Arabidopsis thaliana: one gene and its partner. The protein of the gene in region 2 interacts with the protein of the main gene of each other region in a pairwise test. Each region holds a gene or a part of one and is shown on either strand. Other genes may lie near its edges.

The links. The genes of interacting proteins can lie anywhere in the genome.
Region 1: the proteins of GIP2 (region 2) and FMA interact in a two-hybrid assay, tested with the Arabidopsis thaliana proteins (one large-scale study listed by BioGRID).

The regions. Positions count from the first base shown.
Region 1 is NC_003074.8:8,714,615-8,720,246, forward strand, and holds FMA (basic helix-loop-helix (bHLH) DNA-binding superfamily protein), read right to left. Parts: upstream 3,598-5,632; 5' UTR 3,463-3,597; intron 3,219-3,462; 5' UTR 3,159-3,218; coding exon 3,141-3,158; intron 3,005-3,140; coding exon 2,339-3,004; intron 2,227-2,338; coding exon 1,792-2,226; intron 1,562-1,791; coding exon 1,476-1,561; coding exon of another isoform or gene 1,472-1,475; exon of another isoform or gene 951-1,471; coding exon 911-950; 3' UTR 504-910; downstream 1-503. UniProt on the Arabidopsis thaliana protein: Transcription activator. Together with MYB88 and MYB124, ensures that stomata contain just two guard cells (GCs) by enforcing a single symmetric precursor cell division before stomatal maturity. Together with SPCH and MUTE, regulates the stomata formation.
Region 2 is NC_003070.9:27,742,665-27,745,971, reverse strand, and holds GIP2 (mitotic-spindle organizing 1B-like protein (DUF3743)), read right to left. Parts: upstream 1,324-3,307; 5' UTR 1,159-1,323; exon of another isoform or gene 960-1,158; 5' UTR 954-959; coding exon 750-953; 3' UTR 543-749; downstream 1-542. Other genes in the region: SARD1 (Calmodulin binding protein-like protein), read left to right, coding at 12-211; AT1G73780 (Bifunctional inhibitor/lipid-transfer protein/seed storage 2S albumin superfamily protein), read right to left, coding at 1,804-2,100; AT1G73770 (coiled-coil protein), read right to left, coding at 3,016-3,307. UniProt on the Arabidopsis thaliana protein: Required for gamma-tubulin complex recruitment to the microtubule organizing centers (MTOCs). During mitosis, modulates gamma-tubulin complex localization, spindle stability and chromosomal segregation. Necessary for gametophyte development and embryogenesis.

The DNA.
Region 1 (5,632 bases), on a different chromosome or scaffold from region 2:
TTCAAAAGTAATTACAATGATTATCTTACCATTTAACACAATAATACGATTGACAAACACGAATCTTTTTTGCTTACCTTCGATGAATTAATATAAGCTATATAACAAAGGATCTTCAAGTCTTGGACGGATTTGGAATTGGAATTCTCTGGCCTTGGACTCTGTCAAGATCTTACCCCCGTACGAACCTACTTGGTGTGAGAAGAAAACCAAGCAGTGCTTTTGGAATTTATTGTGTATGTGTCGGATCTGACTTGGATTAGAGCTAATGGTGAATATATAAAGAAGATGAAGACAAGAGTTTCGTCTTTGTTGACGTACGAGAGAAAGATTAAAGACAATCATTTTGAGTCTCCTAAATGAATTTGTTTTTCTGAATTCTGACACTTAGTTTCTTTAGTCAAATCACTTTTGAAAAAGTGTAAAAGCGTCACTTTGTTTAACCGAATGGTCAATTTTTTGAAGATTAAAACTGGCTATTTCTAACCTTTTTTTTCTTCATGTTTTCTTGTTGTATATATATTGGCCCATTTCTCATAGACAAATCTCAAGAAAATGATAGTTCCTCTCCCTCCCCTCAAGAAAAGTTTTCATGCATTGTTTTTTTCTTTTCTTTTTTATTTTGTGAAAAAAGTTATTTCAAGTAAATAAGTGGTTTAGCATTCTAAACCGCTTGTTCAAAACCTACAAATCAAAGCAGCAGAAATCACAACAACGAGTTCTAACATTACAAGCGACACAATCATCACTAAAATTTAAATTGCATGAAAAAAGCCCCAAAAAAATAAAGTAAGCACTCCCTTTAACTTAAACACTCTTCCAAATGCTTGGAGAATAAAACCCAATATGTAGAGATTATTACGTACTGTAATCTTCACCAGTGTACAAAGTTGTCGCCGTGTGATGATTTTCAAGTAAACACAATATTTCCCAGGTTAGAGCTTCCAGATCTGAAATAAAATTGTTTCCAAGCTTTAACACTTCAAATATTGTGATAAATATGTTACAATATATATATATATATATATACACACCATATGTAACACACAAAGAAAATAACCATGATAGATTAGATACACCATATATATCTAACATTAAAAGCAAATAATCATAACATCTAAAAGGTAAAAGAACAAACAAAAGACAAAAGCTAGACATCTAAAATAGTAAAATGTATAACATCGAACCACCAATATCTTTTACTCTAAGACTTTTTACCAGACTCATATACTCACACACTCACAGAGTCACACACACACATAGTAATGATGTCTTGATGATTAGATAGACCACATTGCACACAAAAAGATATAATCATGACATCTAAAAGGTAAAAACAAACAAAACACAAAAGGCATGTGAAATGGATAACAATGAACCAACATAAACTTTTGTTTTAAGGGACCAACAGAAACTTATCAAAAGTATCTTTAATCGAAAGAATATTTAAATAGCAGAAAAATATATATCCTTACATGTTGGTATTTGCATGAATGAAACTAAATATCTGTTGGATGGAACTTGCTATGTCTTCTGCCGTAAACCTCGTTTCACTTGTTATCTGCACATATTTTACATCTACCTCATGTTAGCCATTGATAGTTATTACATATACTTTAACAATACAAATCCATAATCTATGATTATATTGAAAACCCTAAATAAAATTATAAATGTGTTTTATGACAGCTAATCCAGATTAGATAATTACATGTATTATTTGATGAGTCTAGATTTTGCATATGAAAGCTGAATATGAATGATGAATTACTTTTTAACATATAAACTTGCCTTGACATTAAAGGAGTAGAGGACGGTTTGTTCCATGGTAGTGATGTTAGTGTGAAGAATAGAGAGATGAAGATCCTCCAAAGCAGCTATAGTCTTAATCAGCTGTCCCGGCCTTCTTCTTGAAAGTATCTTGATCATGGCGTCAAACCCTAGCAGCTTCACCTCCACGTCAGCCAAGCACGACTTGTTCTCCGCAGTCTCCTCCCGAAGCCCTCCTCCGCCCTCTAGCTCGGTTACATTTCCCGTAATAATGAGCGGTTGTGCTTGGTTCGCTACCGTAGTTATGGGAGAAGAAGAAGAAGTCGTTGTCGTTGTCATGTCCCTACCGGTTTCTCCTAAGATTCTTCGACGCTTCTGTGATTCAAGACATTGTAGGAGTTGCTCGAGCTCTCTCACAAACTCTATTGCTCCTCCTATGATTGACGCTTGGTCTCCCTATTTTATACAATTAATATTTGGTGTAGACAGTATAATTAGTTGTACATATACATATAAAAAAACATTCACGAAAATTCTTTCTTTAAGATATAATTTATGAATATCATACCCTTTGAACGTAGGAGCCAGGCATGAGAGATCTAAGGACACGAAGATGCTCATTCATTTGCTTCCTACGGTTTCTTTCGACCGCGATATGAGTCATCCGTTGGCTTTCCACTTCTTCGCTGGTCTTGCTCGTTCTAGCTCTCTTCCTCTTGCTCTTCACCTCCTTTTTCGTAACATTCTTGTTCTCCCTATCTTCTTCTTCTCCTCCAATAAAACGTAGTTGCACGGAGTTGTTGTCGTTGTCATCGTCTTGATCTTCTTTTTCTTCAAGAAACACATTGCCTATGTTTCCTCCACACTCACCTCCTTCTTGAGACGTCTGATGAGAAGGCATGAGATGTTGGGTTTGGTTATGGTCCTCTATTTTGTCGTTCAAGACAGGGAACTTCAAGAAATAAACGGGGTCAATCCCGGTTTCTTGATCGTCTTGGTTTCTGGTCTGGTTCAACGCAAGTTTCGAACCGAAGTCCGCAAACTGCATCACATCAGAGAAGTTCATTTTATCAAAAGGTGTTGCTCCAAATCCGGAAGGAGAGAGTTGATGTTGCTGCTGTTGTGGCATCGATTGCTTTTGTTGTTGTTGAAGGTTTCTATTGAACATATAGTCTATCATACCAGAGCTGTTATCATCGTTACCGCCTGAGGATTCACCTAAGAAGTTTGGTGCCTAATAAAAACCAGAATTGGAGAATGAAGTTAATATCATAAGCAGGAAGATTTGAATCTTATACATAGATATCTATCAATTTGTATAAGAAAAGAGATTAAGGATCTTGAAATACTGGAAAAAAAAACGTACGTACCGAGTAATCTTTATCCATTGCTATTCGTGGTAGTTGATTATAAACTGCTTAAGTCTAATGAAGGTCAAGCTTCTTGACCTGATGACAACAATCCATGAGCTTCACAGTCAGTTTTAAAAACATATACATGAAACAAAAACACACGTAGAACAAGTTAAAACCAAACCTAGGCAGATTACATGTTTCACCATATACATATACATGTATTTTATATGTACAAAACAAGTTTTCAAATTGAATTTTGACAATTAAAAAAAATGATTAACACCAAATATATTAGAGCTTTGTTTAGTAAGGAGTTAACAAAATAAAAGGGACTGACCTTGTATGATTTGCTAGGGTTTACGAGAGATGTATATAAAAGACGCAAGACATGCAAGATAGTAGAAGAAGACGGATTAGAGAAGACAAAACTTAAAAAAGTGAGGGGAGCTTTTTGTATTGAGAAGTCATAAATGAGTAAGCATCACCAAGCTCCCATATTTATAGAGAGAGATACATTATACATGTGTACACAAGGTATAGCAAGGGGGCATTAAATTTCTTAAGTATGTATATTCGTAATCATTTGTTTCTCTAATTACTAATTAGGGTGTGAATGGTACACATTCGTGACCCAATAAAAACAAATTAAACGACTTAAAAAAAGATACGTAAACATGTTTCAAAAAAAAAAAAAACAATTTTCTAAAGAATAAAGATAAATGAAAATCTACATAAGTTAATCTAAAATATTGAGGATTAGTAGTAAGTAGTTTGATTGCAGTGGCTGTTTTATTCTACTATCATATTCCCATTAATTATCGAGACATCATTGTTTTTCGCAATTTTCTATGCATTCTCTTTTAGTTTCTAAAAGTAGAGAAATATCAACCATCACATAAAATGTTTTAGAAAATCTAAAAACTACAACCAAAAGATATCAATCGTGGGAAAAATGAATTTTCGTTACTATTGTCCTTTTTTATTGCTTTGTAAGAAAGAAAAAGGGATGTTATTATTGCCCTCTTATAATTGTTAGAGATACTTAATGCTTAGTAAAAAAAGCTTCCAATTGTAGCAGGATAAAGCCGTGCAGTCGGAAGTTCTCAATGTCTCCCCAAATGCTTTTGCAGAAAATCATGATTGGCTAATCAAAAGATGCTCATTCAATCAATCCCTTTGTATTATGCACATAATGTGTCAATATTAATTTTCATCCCATTTGATATATAAATATCATTACATATATAGTTATCTAGTTCTTCTCTATCTTCTACATAGAAACACATAACAATCCAAATTTTACGGTCAAATTTGAAATGGGGGATCTAGAGCAACTCCCTAGCTTATTTTGAACAAAAATTAAGTTCAATATTGACTCAAAAGAAAGATTATTGAATATTCCAAATCATATCTTGTTTTTGTAATAAATACTCTATTTCTTTTTGCGTTAGACGTAAGGGTGAGGAGCCACAAAATACGAAAAAAGAAGTAACGTGAAAACACACGTGTATCAGCTGATCACCTCTCTATCTATCTATCTTTTTTTTTTGTTTGTCAAACCATAAATGATAAGATTTGAGTTTTTAGAGTTCACAAGCCAAGGCCGCTCTTTTTCCACCGCTTTTCGTGAACTTAATCAAATCTCTATACGCTTCTCATCTTTTAGTTTATTTCTATAGTATTTCAAATTCAAGCACTTATATTAGTTATGTGTTGTCAATAAAATATGATTTCTAATAAAAATATTCTGGTCAAATATATGAAATTAGTTTCACGAACATGACCTATACTATTTGTGTGTGTACGTGGAGACATATACATTTAAAGAAAAAGACACTGGTGTGGATGGTTACGTTTTAACTTTTAACAAAAAGTGGAGTAAAAATTCACGTTGATCAATCCAGTGAACTTTTTCGGGAATAAGAGTCGCGGATCCATAGGAGTATTTTAGTAGGTGCATATTACACAAATACTATGTTGAAAAGAAAAAAAGAAACATGAAAGAGCTTGCATCGAAGCATCAACCAAAAAAAATACTTGCTGCAACCATTCCCAATTGAGCCAACAAAACAACTATTACGATACATAACACCCACAGGCCACAAGCATCGAAATACTGTAAGATATATAGATTTTAAGATCAAACTTCAATGATAGCGAGCGAAGAGACTGATTGATATACTCAATTCTTTTTTAATTCCAAAAGAATAATTTACATTCTTTTTTATCATAAAAAAAAGTAAAAAACATAAAAATTTGCATTCTTATACCATAAATTTATTGTCAATATACAAGTGCAGTTCAAACCAAGTAAACACACATATTTATTATATCTATATCATATACATACTTTTGTTTTGGACTTTTTTTTCCCACTCATATCAATAAATTTTTCTTTGAGTAGTAAATTTAACACTAAAAATTCACTAGTAAAACCACTTAGTGATGGTGATCCCAAAATCAATTTCCAAACTTTTATCACCACCAATATCATTACCAATTTTCAA
Region 2 (3,307 bases):
TGATTATATAGGTGATGATTTGGACCAACAATATGCTGCGAGCCACTACCAAAACATCGAAATCGATAAATCATATCAACAAAACGGATATGTTCAAGAGAGATCTACAAACAATTTGGAGATAGTAAACGAAGGGTATATAACGACTCCAGCGGAATTCAATATATGTTTCACCGGATCTTCGTCTCAAAATCATATAAACCCTTTCTAAATCCTCATCTACGTTAGTATTGGAAGACACGCCATAGTGCCTTGGCCGAGATTGGACTCTTTCTAAATAAGGGTTTAAACTTTAAACTACTACTACGTACATGATGGTAAAACATGTATTCTAGATCTGCTGATCATGATTGTACATAAAAGTGTGAAGTTTAGAGTTATATTTTTAGTTGGATGGTATACCACTTGTTCACGTTTTCACAGTTGTATGAAAACGTTGTTTTTACCATTCACGTTCAACAAATTTTTACGTTTTTACGTTTTAGAAAAATTGATTCCGCTGTATATGTACGTACTTGATGAAAGTATTGACTAAAAAAAGAAATCAAGAATATGAGGGTAACTTTGTGATTTACTTAAAGAAAGCCTCTCAAAAGGATTGAGTGGGGATGACTCAAATACTTATTACCAATTTGTCTCTGAAACTCTCTATTCAATTACCTTACCAACCCTAATTTACACATCAATAGCATAATGAAATTGAAACTTAGAAAACAAGCATGAATGATACTATTTGATTAGGCATCTTCTTAATCAACCGTAGTTGTTGTTGTAGCAGAATCCCTACGAAGCTCCTTGACGAGAGTAGCGAGAGCCTCAGGGTTAAGACCAATATCGCAAAGAGCTATAAGAACAGACAAAGTATGTCGATCAAGACCTGTCTCCAAGATGTTCGACATCCGAAACACCAGCTCCAGTGACTCTCTCGCTGTTTCAGCTGCTTCCTGATTCATAATACTCTGAAACCACCAAACATCATCCAGAACAAAAAAATATCAATTTCGGAAACGATTCAATTTACATATGAATATCTACTCTATTCTTGTACGGATCTCCATGGATGTACAGAGAATGGAAACCCTTAAAGTGGAAATCGGAGACTTGCCGACGGATCAAGAGATACATTAGATCGGAAAAAGGTTAAGGAACAAAACGAACCGATTAATCGACGGAGAAAACGAACGGCGTCGAGTTTGAGAGAGAAGAAGTGAGATCTTAGAGCTTGAGATAATTGAGAGAAACGATTCTCGATCTCGTGATCGAAGAAGAAGAGGCGAAAATGGGCCAACAATTAGAATTTAGAAATCTAGGGTTGTTTTTTTTAAGAAAATAAACCTTTGGCCGGTTCAGAGTATATTTACTGGTTCATATCAAATCGGTCGGTTAAATAAAATCCGCCGGTTTTAATACAATCGAAGTCTCTGAACTAGTTTTAATCAAGGGATTCTTTTTTGTCGGAATCAAGGGATTCAAGACCTTGTTATGATTAATTCGGCCAAAATTGACAAAATTGCATCCAAATTTAGAGACTTATTTTGTAGTGATATCCTTGAAATTGGAACTTTTAACTTTTAAGTAGCTTATGTTAGTCGAATTATCCGAAATTTCTTAAAAACATATCAATGTGAATATGTGATGATCAAGATTTATTCCTTGACGACAAACACATTAATGGAAAGCCAAACTCAAAAGTAAGAAACTTGAAGTAGAAAAACCATCGATGATGAGCGAACAGAACAGAACACCTTTTTTGGTCTTGAAAGCAAGAAACAGAACATCGAAAACTAGAACGAAATACTGGGACTAGCATTTCGGATACGGACAATGACAATCAGTGGCGATTATTTTGGCGTTTGGGGAGTTAAGGAAAGATTTGAAGTTAGGGTTCTTCAAGTACTGGCAGATACAATGCTGTTGCTCCTTCACCTTGCTGCAACACAGATCCGATGGCTCAGACCCTTTCATTATGGTCTCCAAGCATGGACTCAGCTGCGCAGGATTACATGGATCTACTGCAGCGACTCTGTTTTCTTGGGCAACAATTAAAATGAGAAGGATTGTACAAGTGAAAAACACTGGTTTTGTGCAAGAACCCTTCATTGTCTCACTAAGTTATAGAAAGAAGAAGAAGATATTTGGTTTGGAGTTTAAAGTGGGTTTCTCTCGTTCTATTTATAGAAGAAAATGTCTTTGAGTGAGTCACGTTACTCAAACGAGAGTTTGTGGTTGCAGGAGATCTCGATATGTCTAAAAGAGATTAACTTTTTTCTAAAAGGCTCGGACAAAGCATAAAAACACCTAGGCACCATTTTGGAGAAGTTATGAAACCACGTGTAACCAAAATAGATGTCAGCTTTCGGCTACCCCCAGTGAAGGTATATGAATTTGTTGACACTTAAACAAAGTAATGAGAACACCTTCATAATTATATATTTTACTTCATTACTATTGTACTAAGCACAAAATATGACTTAAATTTCTAATTATATTCAAAAGGCAGAACTTACAGCCAACATGGACCAAAAACTGATCTGTTTCCATTCACTAGGCAGTTGCTTCCTTTCAAAATCTTCAATGTAGTGCATAAGTCTGTGGCCCAAAACCAAGACCAATTAGAGTTCATTGATCACAATGTTAAACATATATCAGGCCATGAAAGAATAAAAGAAGATAAGCTGCAGTATATATTAAGTTTACTCAGACACTTTTCTAGAATCCATATTCTCCATGTGGTATCAGCCACCAAGGTTTTCATACTTAGCACATAATGAATAGGATAAACAAAGCCCAAGACACATGATTAAGCAAGCAATCACACGCTTAAAGATTAAATAGTCTCTAACAAGCACAGTGTTAGAAAATCTCTAAAGTACTAAATAATTTGTATATCCATTTAATCAAGTTATACAAGTAGAAAATGCAAAATGTGACAAAAAAATAAGAGACTGTAAAATACAGAAGAAAATGTTCTCTTTGCGAGTACCGTATGGTGCGAAATCCAAAACTTACCATGTGTTAATCACTTTCAGAGTAAGAATAAGACGAGCGATTAGCTTTCAGGGCATCAGTCTTAATATTGACATCAGACAAGCCAACATCATTGAAACCATCAAACTCTACATCGGAATCAGACGAATCACCATCTCTCAAGTCATCACTCTCAATATCTGAATCAGACGAATCACCATGGCCATCACTCTCAATATCAGAGTCAATATCGTCAACCTTATGTGCATCGTTAACTGGATACTTACGCACCACATCCATCACTTCATCATCACTATCATCGTGCTTCCCTGATAACTTC